Arabidopsis thaliana: one gene and its partners. The protein of the gene in region 1 interacts with the protein of each later gene in a pairwise test. Each region holds a gene or a part of one and is shown in the gene's direction. Other genes may lie near its edges.

Region 1 (3,909 bases):
TCTTTTTCCATAGAAATCTCTCTATCTCTCATTCTTTATTTTCTCTTTTTACCTGAATTCTCCGTCAATGTCGTTGTGATATAAGAGATTAAATTTGATTTTAAAACAAATATCTGATTTTAAAATGCATGTATTTTAAGAACAAAACATGTTATTAACACTAATATATTAATATTTGTCATGCTATCCAACAAAAACTCATGAAATAAATAAATATTTGTCATGTTATCCAATAAAAACCCATGTAATATTGTAATTTTTTAAATTTCGCAATCTATAAGAGAATTGCATGCTTTTTATAAATATTTCGTGCTATTTCTGAAAAACACATTATTTCAGAGAAACATATATATCGTGTATATATATTCTGTATGTATTTTAAAGAATTGCATGCTCTTTTGTAAATATATCATATTATTTTAGACAAATACATAAAAACTTTATAACTACAACCACCGATATTTTTGTAAAAACAAGAAAATCTAAGGATATTTTAGTATTTTATCCACCATAGAAAATGTTATTTACCTAAGTTTCCTGACACAAGGCTATTCTCTCAATTCTTTTCAATTCCATGGTTACTTTCTAATATTACCCTATATAATATTGATATTTTCAAACTTTTGATGTAAATATGAAATTTTCAATGTAGAAACTTAACACATGTCACTGGAGAGATGATGCTTTTTATATGTTTATTTTAAACAAATCCCACTTAAAATCTGTATACACTTTTTTGGGGTACCTTATGTAGATTATATCGAATTTCATGAATTTCTAACTTAGAAAGTTAATATACATTGATAATAAATAGTTTGGTCTATATTTTTTTTACTATCAATAATAATTTATAATTAGTTTAATAAAAATTGAAGTGCACTCACTCATGGTAATAGTTTTTAATTAGTTTTAGAATATATGACCAAGACCAAAAACATTTTGAAACTGAATTTAGTTTTGAATAGGTAGAATCTCGGTTTTAAAGAAAATGATGAAATTCATAATGGAAGGCGTTACATGCACACGCTTCAAGGCAATTCGATTCATGGCTAACATTTTTGATTCACTTTTATTTTACTTTTTGTCATCTGTTTATTCTGTTTCAATTAAGTGTCGTTTTAAGACTTTAATTTTGTTTCAGGATAAATTTTATTTTATATTTTCAATGCAAATATTTTTTTTTGTTAAAATTTCATGTCTTATCTATGTTTTTCTAACAGATTGACAAAAAAAAAATCTATGTTTTTCTAACGTATTAACTGATGAAAGAAATATAATTGTGTATTAATGAAAGATAGAAGTGAAACTTTAATTAAATTTTAATACTATATGTTAATTAACTTTAAACAGCATATAATGATAAATGGTGGGAGTATTACATTTGTTTCTAGGGAATACTGCATTATTATGCGGACAAATTTGATATGTAACTTTCAAAAACTTATACAATAATTTATATTTAGACTTCTCGTTTGTTTTCTATATAATAATTTCCAACAACTTTATCAAAAAAAATAAAAAAAAATTCCAACAATTTAATATCAGCATGTTTCTTCCATCTCCTATTCATATACCTTTGGCTTTTAAATTGTAAATTTCTTAATTTCCTTTTTCTTTAAATTTTAACTCTTAAAAGTTTTCCTTTATTTTCTTGGTTTGAAGCTATATGCCAAAAAGGGAAACGCATATATCCAGAGAAGAAAAACTCGAAACCCTTGTCTTTTCATGGATTTCAAGTATATTATTAATATGCAATTATTCGTATATTAATATATGCCCCTATGCGTATTTTATTTTTTAATGCGAAAGGAATGATATTCAGCTAAATTTTCGGTGTGTCTATTGCTTTTTTTTTCCCTTTCCTCGTTCAAAAAAAGTACTTGCAGAGTCACTCACTCTCAGTCTCAGCACATGAATTAATTTGAAGCTTCCCTAGAATTCTTTCACATCAATTAATACGACACCGTCTCGGGTGAAGAATCTCTCCTCTCTTGCCCTAAAGCGAGTTAGGGTTTAACACACAAAGCATACCCTTTAGATTTGTGTCTCTTAGCTCTGTTTTTGTCGGCTTGTGTAACCGATCAACTCAAGCTATTGGCTCCTCACCTCCTGAAATTTGACTTCTCCAATGGATCTCAAAGTTTCTCTTATATGAATTCTATCTTCACCCTCACAATATCTTTATATATATGAGCCACAAGAACAAGAAGAGTCAGTAGATGCGGCTGCCATGGACGGTGGTTACGATCAATCCGGAGGAGCTTCTAGATACTTTCACAACCTCTTCAGGCCTGAGCTTCATCACCAGCTTCAACCTCAGCCTCAACTTCACCCTTTGCCTCAGCCTCAGCCTCAACCTCAGCCTCAGCAGCAGAATTCAGATGATGAATCTGACTCCAACAAGGATCCGGGTTCCGACCCAGTTACCTCTGGTTCAACCGGGAAACGTCCACGTGGACGTCCTCCGGGATCCAAGAACAAGCCGAAGCCACCGGTGATAGTGACTAGAGATAGCCCCAACGTGCTTAGATCTCATGTTCTTGAAGTCTCATCTGGAGCCGACATAGTCGAGAGCGTTACCACTTACGCTCGCAGGAGAGGAAGAGGAGTCTCCATTCTCAGTGGTAACGGCACGGTGGCTAACGTCAGTCTCCGGCAGCCGGCAACGACAGCGGCTCATGGGGCAAATGGTGGAACCGGAGGTGTTGTGGCTCTACATGGAAGGTTTGAGATACTTTCCCTCACAGGTACGGTGTTGCCGCCCCCTGCGCCGCCAGGATCCGGTGGTCTTTCTATCTTTCTTTCCGGCGTTCAAGGTCAGGTGATTGGAGGAAACGTGGTGGCTCCGCTTGTGGCTTCGGGTCCAGTGATACTAATGGCTGCATCGTTCTCTAATGCAACTTTCGAAAGGCTTCCCCTTGAAGATGAAGGAGGAGAAGGTGGAGAGGGAGGAGAAGTTGGAGAGGGAGGAGGAGGAGAAGGTGGTCCACCGCCGGCCACGTCATCATCACCACCATCTGGAGCCGGTCAAGGACAGTTAAGAGGTAACATGAGTGGTTATGATCAGTTTGCCGGTGATCCTCATTTGCTTGGTTGGGGAGCCGCAGCCGCAGCCGCACCACCAAGACCAGCCTTTTAGAATTGAAAATTATGTCCGTAACATAGCTGTAACCAAATTTCATTTCTCAAAATTAAAAGAAAAAAAAAATCATCTTCATTGTTTGGGGATCGTTTGGTTTTTAATTTAGTTGATCATATATGAATATTTGAATTCGTCTTGAGATGATATACTTCTCCATCTGCATTTTCTCTTCTTTTTTAATCACTAGGGTTTCGTGCTGTCCCTATATATTATTTGTTATATGCTTGAGTTCACAATAAAAGTGCTATTAGAAGCCAATTTTTATATATCACTTAGTTACCTTTGTAATTGGATAACAAAAAAGTTATTGAGTACATTTTATAGAAATATTGAAATGGCTCATACTTGTATATATCATGGATGTGGTATGTGTAATCCCCTTTTTGAGTAGTTATCAAAGGTAATCACTCAATCTATGTTACTATGTCTATCAAGTAATCAACCAACAAATCAAACATCTTGTTCTTTTTAATTCATCTAGATACCATACATGAATCTTCGAGATTTTATGATTTGAAAATCTCTAGATTGAATATCTTGTTTACGCATGGAATCTCTGATTTAGTACATGTTTCACCCAACTGAGTTCTACATTGTATTTCGATGAGATCAATATGAATATTTCTTCGTTTTTATCAATTAATCACGAAAATAACGCGTTAAGAATCTACCAAAAAGTAAATAACGCTTTAGAAATTTTACGAAAAACTAAATAACTATTTAGAATTTTATGAGTTTGTTTTAAAGACAGCGGTTACTGTGATAAT
Region 2 (4,047 bases), about 19 Mb from region 1:
GGTTCCAACCAATCTACCAAATTGCTTGGAACAAAATAAAACTCCAAGAGCCGAGAGAACTTGATGGTGTTACACCACGCAACCTGTGATTAAAAAAAAATATAACATTAGTTGGCTAAGCAACAAGGAAAAGAAGAGGATCGGAGATATGTAATCGGTACCATTGGCTTGGTCAAATACAAGTACATATGTATGACAGAAGAAAGAGATCTCAGAAACTTGTGATCGGGGTTATGAACATAGCCGAGTTTTGCTATATGAAGGCAAGAAATATTCTCTATCAAGCAATAGTCCAAAACGTTACGTAAGCGTAAAATTTCTAATGCAGGGGAATCTATTACCAAGGATCTATTGAGATCATCATCATCATCCTCCTCTACCTCACCTACGTCAACTTCCTCAACCACACCTTCCTCATCATCCTCTACCTCATCTACATCATCATCATCCTCTACCTCATTTTCCTCTACCACGTCTTCCTCATCCTCTACCCCATCCTTCCGCCGAGTAGTATTATAATGTAACTGTTTCAAGGTAGATACTTTCACGGTAAATTTTGTCAAGTTGTCATCCTTATGTCGATCCACCTTCAGGCAGTTGAGAACAGGGGAGCTTGATAAAAGGCTAACAAGAGATTCTTCGTCTTTGTACACCACAAAGCGAAGACTCAGAGTTAAGAGAGATGGTAGGCGAACAGGGGAAGAAACGTTCACTAGAATCTTGTTGGATAGACTTAAATCAACGAGCGTGTTGCATGTGTAAAGGCACTTAGGAAATCCTGTGGGTTCTGCGGTCCAGAGGAGATTGAAATCTAACTCTTTCACACCTCTATTAACTACGTTCTCAACCCACTTTCCGACATCTACGTCAACAGGACAATGTGGACCGAGTTCCACAACCAAACTATCTAGTTTCGGTGCCTTATGGAGTTGCAATGACTTTTCAATAAACCACCCCACGCTCTCGCTGTCATCTTCTTTGAATTCGAGTCTAGGCACCATCGGCCAGACATAACGCCATCGTTTAGACAAGATTGAAGTGGCGACTGCCTCTTTTGTTGGGACGTGATGCAAGATCTGCAAGAGCAAATCGTTAGGAAAAGCACAGATTCTAGTTTCGTTTATCTGACAACTTTCGGTTTCTGGAACAGTTGATATATGCTCATCGTCGTGTATAATATCCCAAAAAAAAGACCAACAACTTAAGCAACCCATAGATGTGGCCATGTGGGATACCGGATACCTAGCTAGACGCCAATGGAACTTTTTTCTCGTCGCTGGCTGTGACACAAAAGTGAGTCTATATTATAAAGCTTTTTTTCAAAAAAAAACAATTATTATACAAATATTTATTATTTGTTCAAAGAAAAAAAAAAAAAAATATATATATATATATATATATATATTATTAATGCATATAAAAAAAGAAACTAAATTAAAGTTGCCCAATTTTTAAAGTAAAACTGCAATATAGACACACATAAAATATATCAATCGATTCTCATTCTTACATAATTGTTAGTTTTTTCCCTTAAAAATCTAATCATCAAACCAAACAAAATTGTTGAAAATCCAAATTTTCTAGCCTGGTCCTTATATTTCCATTTGTTATTTTGGATGAATTTATTTTCCAATTCCCAATTTTGCCGCCAACCTTGATTAATTTCTCTACTTGGCTTGCTCTAATTGCTTGCACCACGCCCTTGTAAATGTATCGATTATGTTTTTACGTGCCATGAATTTAAATTTTTTGTTGTTACACTATTTGATAAAATAAATTGAATGTGTTTTGACTAAACGGATTATAATACTAATTAATCTTTTTAAAGTTCTACGTATAATTTAATGCATCTATGATTTCTTAAAAAATCAAAATAAAAATTGGTAATAATGTTTCTAGTTTCTGTTCACTACAACATACAAACGATACTTATTCTAATTGCAGCTAATAATAGAATTGGTTTTTACAAGTTGAATTTTTTTTAATTATTTGTACATGGGCCTTTAACTGGAGCATAATTAAAGACCAAAATGAGAAAAGGCCCATATAGTTGTAGTCTTAGTTTAGGTTTGGAGTCTCACCCTTATATTCTTCGTTCCAAACGAAAACCCTAAAAGAGAAAAGGAGGCGAAAATGGTGCAGCGTCTTGTTTACCGGTCGCGACACAGCTACGCCACCAAATCGAACCAGCACCGTATCGTCAAGACTCCAGGTCCCTTTCTTCTTCTTCTTCTTCTTCCTTGATATCTTCAATCTCCTCTGCTTTAGTCTCATAATTCTCTAATCACCGATCTGTTCTTCATAGTGTAATGTGTGTTGGGATTGTTGATTTCAGGAGGTAAATTGGTGTATCAAACCACAAAGAAGAGAGCTAGTGGCCCCAAATGTCCTGTTACTGGCAAGCGTATTCAAGGAGTAAGTCTTCTGATTTCGATTTGGCTTCGTGTGATTTGGTTTACATGGTTCTTGTATCTAGAGTCTTGATTTGAGGTCTAGATAGAGTTAAGAGTTTGAATTTTTTAGGAATTTGATGGCTATGTATAACCAAATCAATCAGATTGAGTGTTTTAGAATGTTTTGAGTATTGATCAGTCTCATTTTTAATGGGCATGTCTTCTTATTTCAAGAAACCATGTTACTTAGTTAATAGTATTGTGCTTATTGACGGTCTTGTGCTGATTAGATAAATCCCACATCAGTACATAACATAAATCATAAGCTAAATTGTCGGTGCCACTTTGTCTTTCAAGTTGTTCCTTGTATTACATAAGGATTTGCTATCCACCTTTGGCATAAATTTTCAGTTTATTCCCAACTATATATGTTTGATTATGCAATGGCATATTCCTTTTGCATTATGTGAATAACTTTGTTTGTTTATTCAGATCCCTCACTTGAGGCCCTCTGAGTACAAGAGGTCAAGATTATCAAGAAACAGGAGGACTGTAAACCGAGCATACGGTGGAGTCTTGTCTGGTTCTGCAGTCAGGGAAAGGTTTGTTGTCCATCTTACTTGAGTCATCTTTCTATTACAATAAATTTGGTGTTCTTTAACGTAATGTTGTTTTTGGATTCCGACAGGATCATTCGGGCATTCCTTGTCGAAGAGCAAAAGATTGTGAAGAAAGTGTTGAAACTCCAAAAGGCTAAGGAGAAAGTAGCCCCCAAGGCTTAAGCTTTTATGTTTTATTCTTCTCTGTTTTGGAATTATGGCTATGTTCAAGTGATAGGACTTGGTGCAGTCATGTGAGGACATCTATGTTACTCGACCAATTTTTAAGCTTTGTATTCTGTTATCAGTTCTTAACTTTGTCGACAATTCTCTTCTCTTCAGTTTTGGAATTGTTGAATTCATCTTTAATGTTCTATTGTTGATGCATATCACATAAGCTGTTGTGATTACCTTCTTGGTTAATATAATATTTCTGAATCTCTCGGAGGCTAAATCAAGCTTGCACTTTAATGTTCTCAGCGTCATGACACAACTATGGAATAGCAATTTTGAGTCTTAAATCTTAACTATGCTTCAATTTTTGGGAATTCTACAACGACAGTCTCGTATGCGATTAATGAAGTCAGCTCCAGAAATAATATACTTACTGGTCTTTATTTTGAATATAGTAAAACTCGATTCAGTTTTTCTCTTGTTCATCTTGACTTACCTCATGCCTTCTTCATTAAAGCAAAGTTGCTTGTGAAAAATAAAAACTCAAGGAAGCATAATTAATAAACGATTTAATTTAGTGAAAGAGAAAGCCTACAAAGAGGAAATACCCTAGCTTGAAAAAAGCAAGCCAAGAAGGCAGAGATGGGAAAATCTATCCACATACATCAGGTTGTACTGGAGAAACAAGCTGGCAAATCGCTATTGATGGACGATAAAGAAGAATAATAACTCTCCAGCAATGTCATGTTCTGTTTCAGGTCTTGATGATGACGATGGTTCTCATTAATTGTTGAAGTGAAATCATCAAACCGAAGTGTGTCGCAATGATCACCAAGATGATCTTCATTGGAACCACGCATGTTCTTCATTATACCATTTCC
Region 3 (5,014 bases), on another chromosome or scaffold:
GTTCTAGAATGCTTGATCACTCTGTGACTGAATTGTCTTCTCTCTGGTACAGGGCTGGTGGCTTTTGCACAACAAAGTAGAACTAACAGTTCCTGCGATTGTAGTCAATTGCCTTGTCTTCTTGATAGGGTAAGTTCTGAGACATTGGGTTATTTTCCATTCTTACATATCTACACTAAGAAACCCACTATTTCTTCTTTGGCAGGTACATGGTTTTTCGAGGAGCTAACAAACAAAAACATATCTTTAAGAAGAACCCAAAAACACCAATATGGGGCAAGCCTCCAGTGGTAGTTGGTGGAAAGTTACTGGTTTCAGGCTATTGGTATGTTATATTTATCTTCTCTTGTTTCTTTGCTTGGTTTCGCCATCTCTGTGTTTGATTGTTCATCATGCTGGGAATAAAGAGTTGAAAGTTCCGCAATGACACATTTCCGATAACTTAGGTGCTGTTTTGTATATATGACAGGGGAATTGCAAGGCACTGTAATTACCTTGGCGACTTGATGCTTGCTCTGTCCTTCAGTTTGCCATGTGGAATAAGGTAACTTCTTCTGCTTGAGTTCATCTTACAGCTACCAAAAGTCATGTAGAAACTAATACCAATATCAAAACGTTCGAAGTTGATTTGGCTGACTTAAAGATATTGATCTCTAACCATCATTTGAAAAGTCTAAAGCTTTCAAGTTCATTTCCCAAAGCTGTTTTTATGATATTTTGTCTTGTGTATTCTCAGTTCTCCGGTTCCATATTTCTACCCGATATACCTTCTGATACTATTGATATGGAGAGAACGAAGAGACGAGGTTCGATGTGCAGAGAAGTACAAGGAGATATGGGCAGAGTATCTTAGACTTGTCCCCTGGAGAATACTTCCTTATGTTTATTAGATGTGCCAAGAGCCAAGTCATGAATCCTTTCAGATTCATCCTCTTGTGTCTTATTTTTTCATAATCTTGTTTTATTTTAGCAATGCTCGAGTGAAACTTTGTAGTACACGTTTGAGAATAACTTCAGTCCTTATTATTATTTTAGCATTGATATCAGCATTTTCGGATTTTATTTTTTGGGTTGTTTAAAAACCAGAGATTTTACAAAAGACATTTGTTTGATGTAAAATGTCATGATAAAGTAATATTGTACTTATGTAAAACTGAGAAAAATACTAATAGAGGAACAGAGTGGTGTTGATAAATGATAATGCTGATGGATATGTTTATAGGAGAAAATGGAAAATTATCACAAAAATAGAAATTGACGATTACGAAGTTTCTAGATGTACCATCTTAATCGACTTGGAGACAATTTAAATGGACCATACACATCCGTGTTTCTATTTACATGTCAATATACATATATTCTTTGTCTTTTTAGTATATTTCCTTCTTTTCCCCTATTTTCTTTTTAAATATTGTATGTTCTATATCAGTTTCTTTCTTAAGATATTATGGCATATCGTAACAGTTGTTTCCATTTATAATCATATTTTATTTTTAGTATGTCATAGAGTTTTTTAAAATTTATTTATTTGTCAACGAGGTTTTATTAAAAAATTATATACACATATTAAAAAAATGTTGAAAATACGTGTAAAAATCTCATAATTTGTTATAATAATAAGATGTTTCATTTTATAATCACTTGAACCTAAAAGATAAGAAACAATAAAACCATTGAAGATCCTAAAAGACACCTTTAAAACTTCAAAATGTATACAACAACAATAGCAACAAAAAAGTTCTAGACTACATACATACTGTGTCGGTAGAAAGCAAAAGACTTTGATAGTTTTTGATTATTCATGCGTTTGAAGAGTCGCAGCTGTTTTCCGGTTATATGTCTCTATCTAAATCTAAGATCTTAATTTTCTATGTTCGGAGATATCAAAGTCGCACTTTTTCTGTGAATCTAGAAACACATAACATTTCCAATAAGAATATTCTATTGAGATTCGTAGTCAACTATTAAGTGTTTATTACGATTAAAAAACTACTATAATCAATGATTAATGTAATTTATTATCTTACGATCTCAATTATACAATTCGTCTGACGGTTTGGGCCGTCGTAAGGCCGAAGTCATGCTTTTCCTTAAATAACACTACGAGTTACCAAATTACCCCTCAGCTAATTTGCTGAGAATCCACGCTATTAAGGGGTAGAATTAAGATTAGCCAACATTGCCAATTAGAGATCCAACGGCTGAAAAAGCTATTTCTTGGGGAACATGCAAAGATCTGACCCTTAATTAATATTTTCACCAACCAATAGACTCTCATCCGCAGCTATAAAACCAACCCTTTTCCTCTACTGGTCCACCACTCGTCTGCCTTCTTCCGCATCTCTTTTCATTTCTCTCTGATTTCTCGATCTCTCCGTCCAACTATGTCTGCCTTCACAAGCAAATTCGCCGGTAAGATCTCGATCTCTATCTCTCTTAAGTTCTTTATTCATGTTTAGATTCGTGTATTGGATTCGATTCGTTATCCCGTGTTTTGATTCTTATTAGCGTGTTTAATCGTATAGATCTAGTTGATTCGTGAACTTAGCTTGGTTTCGAAAGCTGAAATGAATCAGTCGATGATTCCTATGTTAAAAACTAGCGTAGATCTAACTATGTTCTCATCGGTTTTAATACGGATCTAATTAGTATTCACGATCTGGAACTTTTTCTGTTGTTGTTCTCTTATGGTGATTGATTGATTTAAGTTTTTCCATTTTTGAAACCTATATAGATGAGTTGATCGCCAACGCTGCCTACATCGGCACACCTGGAAAAGGTATTTTGGCTGCTGATGAGTCCACTGGTACCATTGGAAAGCGTCTTGCGAGCATCAACGTCGAGAACGTTGAGACCAACAGACGTAACCTCCGTGAGCTTCTCTTCACCGCCCCTGGTGCTCTTCCATGCCTCAGTGGTGTCATCCTTTTCGAAGAGACTCTGTACCAAAAGAGTTCCGATGGTATGAACTTGATCAATACTATTACTTAATGTTTTACTCTGTAATGTGGTTTTGTGATTGTTTTTTATTGATGATGATGTTTTCTTTGTACAGGTAAGCTTTTCGTTGATATCTTGAAGGAAGGAGGAGTTCTTCCCGGTATCAAGGTTGACAAGGGTACCGTTGAGCTAGCTGGAACCGACGGTGAGACCACCACTCAAGGTCTTGACGGTCTCGGTGACAGATGCAAGAAGTACTACGAAGCTGGTGCTCGTTTCGCCAAGTGGCGTGCAGTCCTCAAGATCGGAGAGAACGAGCCATCTGAGCATTCCATTCATGAGAACGCTTACGGATTAGCTAGATACGCTGTTATCTGCCAAGAGAACGGTCTTGTACCAATTGTCGAGCCTGAGATCCTAGTCGATGGATCCCATGACATCCAGAAGTGTGCTGCCGTGACTGAGCGTGTCCTTGCAGCTTGCTACAAGGCTCTTAGCGACCACCACGTCTTGCTCGAGGGTACACTCTTGAAGCCTAACATGGTTACTCCCGGATCTGACAGCCCCAAGGTTTCACCTGAAGTCATCGCTGAGCACACCGTCCGTGCCCTTCAGAGAACCGTCCCAGCAGCTGTTCCAGCCATTGTCTTCTTATCTGGAGGACAGAGCGAGGAAGAAGCTACCAGGAACTTGAACGCCATGAACCAGTTGAAGACCAAGAAGCCATGGTCATTGTCTTTCTCATTCGGACGTGCGTTGCAGCAGTCTACCTTGAAGACATGGGCAGGTAAAGAGGAGAATGTCAAGGCAGCTCAAGAGGCGTTGTATGTGAGGTGCAAGGCTAACTCTGAAGCCACACTCGGAACCTACAAGGGTGACGCTAAGCTTGGTGATGGAGCAGCTGAGAGCCTTCACGTGAAGGATTACAAGTACTGAGCATCGTCCACGGGTTGAATTGTGACGTTTGTCATCTTCCTGGATATATTTCTAGGGATTTTTCGTTTTTCTACTTGACATTATCGGATTATAAGTGTTTTTTCTTCATTTTCCTTTTGGATTTGTGTTTTGATTTTGATTGGGTTTTGTTTTTTAGAATTGAGTATTTTAAAAACACGCCCAAATAAAAAAGTCATTTGAGGTTATTTCTGTTGAACCTCTTGTGGAATTTGAAAATCAGTTTCTGTTGATTTACCGCTTCTTGAGCCTAAATTATTGTATTTGGTTCTCTGATTCGTATATGAAATCTCGTCTTTTAAACACATAAAAATCTGTCTATGAAGAGTATGAACCAAGCGTTCCTGTTTCATTTTTTCAACAATATGACTAGTATGTGAGAGCATAATTGCTATATGAGGCTACAACCATAAGCTGAAAGGAGCCTCGAACAAGATTCAGAAACATAGGAAAGTTATACACTTTCTCAATTAATTTGCAGACACAAGAATATGAACAAGACTGTAGTGTGTTTTCATTGTCTTCAAAAGCATTCCAAAAGCCAGCTTATTGCCAAATGCTGTAATGAGAATACACAGCTAATTTATGATATTCTGTTTATGTGTAAGATGGGCCTCAAAGGGCCTACTGTATGAAAGTATACTAAATTGGTTCTCCACTGAATATCATAAATAAAAAAGCATTTGCTTTCCAGATCATGTCTACCAAATAGTTTGTAGATTAGCACATTGCTGTGTTTTGTACGATCGAATATTTCTATCTTACCAGCTCGATTGAATAATTTAGTGTAATTCAAAGAATAAGGAATTTGCTAGATTAGGAAAACAATATTTGGAAAATGGGAATACTTGAAGATCTTACAACCAAATATCATATCTTTCCCATTTTGTTAAGTGTTTTTCTTTCCATTTTACTAAAATATCATTTTACATTTTTGTCTTTGAAAACAATAATTGGAATTTATCGAGTCTATTGTGTGGGTCAAGGTCATGATTTACTTTGACAAGAAGAAGTCGTTTCAATTTCAAAACACCCACCACACACGCTCGACGGCGAGAGGCTACTTTCTCAAAAAGCTAAACATAATTTGGGGGGGAAAAGAAATTAAAATAAAGCTAAA
Region 4 (5,214 bases), about 25 Mb from region 1:
TTGTTAATTGTTAATAATTTTTAATATTAACTAAGATATAGATTTGATCTCATATATATATTATTTTGACATGAAATCATTATCAAGTAAGATGAAGTGTGTAGAATTAAAATCAAGCTTTTTATGAAATAGATAGTTAAATTGTATACAAAATTGAATATGTAAGATAAAAAATTTGTTCTTTTCTTCTAAATACTAAATTATAATAAAGAAAAAGTGTGTAGGTTACTATTTAGACTTCAAATATCATCAATAAGATTGAATGGGTATAATAAAATAAAATGCATAAGACTACTATTTTACTATTCAAAATTATATATCAAGAACAATGTATAGATTATTATTTTATTATTCAAAATTTAAATATTATCGATAAAAATTACAGTTACATCTTACACCCGCTTATTTAGGCGGGCCTTATCTAGTAAAATAGGATTCAAGGTGTTTAGTAAATCGTGGATGTTACTACTTTCTGCTTTCGTCATGAGTCGAAAATCTAATTCTGAAAAGGTAAATTAATCACCTAAAGGAAAATGGCTTTGGCCCAACCACTACAAGAGGCTAAACACATGAAATGAAATGAAATGAATGTGCTGATATCGAAAAATCTAGAGTGATGCTATTAGTTATTAACGCTAAGCTAAGATAGATAAGTATGGACGTTACCGAAGTCGAAGACATTAGTAGAAAATGTGTATAAGCAATTCAGTTTTGTATAGTTGGAAACTATCGATGAACGTGCATTATTCATAGAAAATGAATGAAAGTCTTTGGATTTAGCAGAAGAAAGTTTTGTCTTATCAGAATTTCTAATTCCCATAGGCTTTGGGATTAAGAGAGTCCGATACGATAAAGACTGAAATTAAAATATATGTATTCATGGATGGGGACACCGGACACATATATTATAATAATATAGAGAAAAGAGGGCTGAATCTTGACGTAAAAAAAAGAAGGTTGTATCTTACCGTTTCTCTGAAGTTAGTATGAAGCGGTTTCCTGAAGTGGTCCTTAGCCAAATAAATGTAAGCAAATGCGTTTTCGATCGCCCACCCAACGCACATGCCCCCCAATTCTTTACTCCAACACCACCTTCAAGGTACGTGGTTTTGACAACAAATGTCGTTTTATAAAGTTTTTAAATACATCCAACTAGTAAAGTTCATATATGAATTATTAAATAAATAAATGAAAACTCCTTTTGTCTCTCCAAATAACTGAGTTGTGGTTTATGAGAGACACCATTTATACCACCGTTATTGGTGGTATCTTAGCAAAAATTTTAGGCTAAAATTTGTGAAGAAAAAACTGTTATATAAGCTTAAAAGCTTTGTTTATCTTAATACATTTAGTTTATCGATTTTATTCCATTCCATACCATACGTAGCCCATATGCTTTTCCATTTCTATATACTTACAAACACAACCCTTTTGATAATGCTATTGCTAATCCCAAAATTTAGTTCCAATTTTCCGAAACAAATCCCTAATTTGAATCTAAAACAATGTATATGCTTCACTCTAACATTTCAGCATCTATGATACAACATTGTCATATAAACACTAACGATGAAGATAATAATTGTCAAAAGATATACAATAATAATAAAGAACTGGTACTTCAAAAATCTCTACAAATTGTTTGCCATGGTTTCACCGTAATCTAACTATTTCATTCAATATTAACAAAATATAAAATAAGAGGAAAAATAACAAGCGAAGAGATGATTTTGAGATTTCAAGTTCAACTCTTTAGAAAATTCACTTCAACATGAGCATTATGTGAGGTAGAAGGGGAATGAGAAGGAGGATAAAGATGACGATGAAGAGGATGATGGCGTAACAAGTCCATTTCCTCGAGCTCTTTTGGTATTCCCTCGCATCTTGGAGCTGATCAGTCCCTCTTCTCACAAACGAGCTCGCTTTCGCCACATGGCTCTCTATGTTGTTTAATTGTTGCCCTTGCGCTTCTACTAGAGCTGCCATGTCCAAGAAAACCTGGTGCAGCTCCAGTAGATTCTTCTCTATCTCCTTCACTGCATCATGTCTCTCCTGGATCTCAGATATCGTGTCTAGGATTTGACCTCTTCCTTGCTCTTGAATCGCTTTTTGGAGAAAATTCTCGCTCTCACCGCTCGCTATCAAGTTATCGATTGTTTGCTCGTCTGCTTTTTCTCCTGTTATTGTGAAATACCTGCACCAATTTTAACATAATCATATAACTTGCAACCCAAACAGAGCATAGCTTGCAACACAAGAAACCTAAAGAAAAACAAAGACCTGCGCTCTACGGTTTCCTTATACTCATTGTTCATACGAGCACGTAGACCTTGAAAACTATCCATCAAGTCTTTGAGCTTCTTCCCGAGACCGCTAACCACAGAAGATCGAGTCCTATCCGTAGACGAACCAGGCCCACAACCAGGGACATTACGGCTATTAGCATTCGCTTTCTCTAAGGCTTCGAGCTTCTGCTTGATGATTTTAACCCTCTTAAGGACCATTGCTACGTCTCCATCCATCTTAGCTCGTAGCTCTTTAACCTTCTTGGCATTGTGAACCGTCTTGCACTCCTCGTTTGAGTCTTGAAGCTTCTTATAAAGAGCCTCGACTCCTTTCATGTCGTCCTTCACATTCTCGACATCCTCGAAGAATTTATCGAGGTTCATCGTTTCTTGACCTGCCTCAACATCCCCCAGTTGAGCCTGGTTCTTCTTGAATGAATTAGAGAATAAATCGTTCATTTTTACTCTGTCTTTATTTTCTTTCTCTGGCTTAATTATGTACAGAAGTTTTTTTTTTGGGGTTTTATGTGTTTTTTTCTTTGATTTTGTTTTTGTTCAAAAGCAATTGATTATGATGATGAACATCACCATCGTCGTCCTCTGCATGAGTAAGAGGAAGAAGATGCTAGGAAGTTTTTTTTTTGTTTTATTTTGATGAGTGAAAAAGAAAAACTTTTAGTTTTGTGGGAAGGTTTATTTTGTTTTGTTAGAAACGAGAGACACAAGCCACTTTTGGTAATTGTCCAAATTTAGTCAATGGCATAACTTTTTCTTAACCAAATTAGCTCCATTTAGTCAAAGACAATATTACCCTTATAATGGGCCAAGCCTTAAAGCCTAAAGCCCAATTAAAAGGCCATTTTTTCTGCTTCCTGCTTCTTCTTCTTCATAGGCTTGTTTTGATTAAACCTCGCAAAACCTAATTTTTGACCTGAACCGCTTCGTTTCCGATCGGAGGAAGTATCTGGTGATGACGGGAGGCTTGCATAATGAGGAGGCGGGTTCACTGGCTACGCCGACTAGTGCTAGGCACATTGGGAAGAGAGCTCGCAAGAACAAAAGCCTCACCGTCTCTTTTGACGAGAAAGATCTCAAGTACAATAAAAATTCTAACTTTACTGCTGATTCAATCTGGGAATCTTTGAATTCGCATGATTAGTGAGTTTTCTGGTGTGTGTTGTTTTGTTGGTAGGGATTTTGTGACTGGTTTTCACAAGAGGAAGAAGAAAAGAAGAAAGGAAGCTCAGAAGCAGCAGGAGGAAGCTTTTAGGCGGAAACGAATCGAGGCCCGTAAGAATGTAAGCATCTAACTGTTCCTTCTTATTCTGATATGCGTTATAGATTAGTCTCAAATTCTTTGTTTAGCTAAATTTAGATTTGTCTGGAGCTTAAAAACACTGTCTTTTTGGTAAGAGGTTGTGCAATGAGCTTGTTCTGATTTGTTTCTATAGAAATTTGAGTGCTTCTTTTGTTTTGACCGCAATTGTTAATCGAAATTTTACATGTCCTTCGATAGTGTCTGTGATGTATGAGTGATTAATAGTGGATGAGATGTCAGAGAGATTGTTGATGATCAATCATTTTTATTATGTAGATTTTGATTCTTGGACTTGAGCCTATCTTTTCTCTTATTGTTCTGAATCTGGTATATGAGCTTTGCAGAGGAAATTGGAAGAGCTAATGGTTGCTGGTAATGGCGAGGATAATGAAGATGGGGAAGCTGAAGATGAAGTGGATGCAGAGGATGAAGAAGCAGAGCCTGATGCTTCAACATCTGGTAATCTTTTTGTAATCTTTTTTTTTTTTGTTTTCCATTACGCAATGATTGATAGTTTGTCGCCATAATGTGAAAGCTGGTTGATTGGAATGGAGAAGTTTGCAACACAAGCATTATTGATGTCTTTTTCTCCGTTGATTGCTTTTGCATTAGTATGATTTTGCTTTGACTGGCTTTGTTCTGATATTTGTTGTGTTTCTTTGTGGATGAAAGCCACGACGATGTATGATACAGGCGAGTTGAAAGTAACTGTGACAACAAGTGAGATATCTCGTGAAGAGGAAGAGCCTATTCGCAAGGAGAAGACTCAATCAACAGAATCAGGTTCCACGGCCAAAGCTTCCACAAAGCAGCCTGTGCCTGTGAGGAAAACCAAACCCATGAAACAGAGCAGGAGACGGTCAACCACCAAAACTATGAAGAAAAGGGATAAGAAGAAACAAGCAAGAGGGATCAAGACTTCGCGATAGGAGTAGAAATGTCTGTTGTCCTCTAAAAGCATGCTTTTAGAGCTTCTGATGATTCGGATTCTCGAGCGTTTTGATATTTTTCTGCTGTTGAAATGGAGGGTAACAATTGGATAATGTTGAGTTTTGTTGTAACAATCACATTTGTTAATCAAATCTGTAATGTTACACTTACTTTACCGTTCACCAAGTTCTTTGATCACTAACTCTTCCTATAAATTTGGTTAAATTGGTAACAAGCAATTACTGCGGTTGAATACTAACCGCTTTGGTGGCTACAAATCGGCAAAGGGGTTGGTTTTGGCGATTTAAAGAAGCGGTTCAAGTTGGCAGTAAAAAAGATATGCTCGAACATGATCTGATTTCGTATAGAAGGCCGGTTCAACCGTCATGGGCCTCATGGCACGGCTTACAAATTTGCAGAGGATGAATATTTCACTAAATAGAATACAAATGCAAATATGTATGACTTTCTCTAAAAAAAGAATTCAATCTAATTATTTAGTTCAATACATTTCCTAAATAGAAATCTTACCGAATATGGTATATATAATATATGTAGGTAACACATAAGTTGCAGTCTATAACAAATCTTTGTATAGTTTCAAGGAGGGTATAGTTCGTTACTACTTACATTTTATGTTACAGTTTACACGTTTTGATATTTTTTTTGTAACTCATCTGC

Evidence for each region.
Region 2: the proteins of SOB3 (region 1) and AT1G26880 interact in a two-hybrid assay, tested with the Arabidopsis thaliana proteins (one large-scale study listed by BioGRID).
Region 3: the proteins of SOB3 (region 1) and FBA8 interact in a two-hybrid assay, tested with the Arabidopsis thaliana proteins (one large-scale study listed by BioGRID).
Region 4: the proteins of SOB3 (region 1) and AT1G11240 interact in a two-hybrid assay, tested with the Arabidopsis thaliana proteins (one large-scale study listed by BioGRID).

Annotation. Positions count from the first base shown.
Region 1 is NC_003070.9:28,703,302-28,707,210, forward strand, and holds SOB3 (Putative AT-hook DNA-binding family protein), read left to right. Parts: upstream 1-1,661; 5' UTR 1,662-2,230; coding exon 2,231-3,139; 3' UTR 3,140-3,390; downstream 3,391-3,909. UniProt on the Arabidopsis thaliana protein: Transcription factor that specifically binds AT-rich DNA sequences related to the nuclear matrix attachment regions (MARs). Acts redundantly with AHL18, AHL22 and AHL27 in the regulation of flowering and regulation of the hypocotyl elongation.
Region 2 is NC_003070.9:9,314,768-9,318,814, reverse strand, and holds AT1G26880 (Ribosomal protein L34e superfamily protein), read left to right. Parts: upstream 1-1,934; 5' UTR 1,935-2,133; coding exon 2,134-2,212; intron 2,213-2,335; coding exon 2,336-2,415; intron 2,416-2,653; exon of another isoform or gene 2,654-2,800; intron 2,801-2,885; coding exon 2,886-2,995; coding exon of another isoform or gene 2,996-3,017; exon of another isoform or gene 3,018-3,081; coding exon 3,082-3,175; 3' UTR 3,176-3,510; downstream 3,511-4,047. Other genes in the region: AT1G26890 (FBD, F-box and Leucine Rich Repeat domains containing protein), read right to left, coding at 1-83, 162-371, 438-1,226; FEZ (NAC (No Apical Meristem) domain transcriptional regulator superfamily protein), read right to left, coding at 3,832-4,047.
Region 3 is NC_003074.8:19,626,245-19,631,258, reverse strand, and holds FBA8 (Aldolase superfamily protein), read left to right. Parts: upstream 1-2,054; 5' UTR 2,055-2,384; coding exon 2,385-2,412; intron 2,413-2,734; coding exon 2,735-2,962; intron 2,963-3,055; coding exon 3,056-3,876; 3' UTR 3,877-4,511; downstream 4,512-5,014. Other genes in the region: FK (Ergosterol biosynthesis ERG4/ERG24 family), read left to right, coding at 53-129, 206-325, 470-544, 737-890.
Region 4 is NC_003070.9:3,766,254-3,771,467, reverse strand, and holds AT1G11240 (ribosomal RNA-processing protein), read left to right. Parts: upstream 1-1,668; 5' UTR 1,669-1,761; coding exon of another isoform or gene 1,762-2,194; 5' UTR 2,195-2,280; coding exon of another isoform or gene 2,281-2,744; 5' UTR 2,745-3,255; coding exon 3,256-3,380; intron 3,381-3,477; coding exon 3,478-3,583; intron 3,584-3,947; coding exon 3,948-4,062; intron 4,063-4,275; coding exon 4,276-4,532; 3' UTR 4,533-4,714; downstream 4,715-5,214. Other genes in the region: SYP125 (syntaxin of plants 125), read right to left, coding at 1,762-2,194, 2,281-2,744.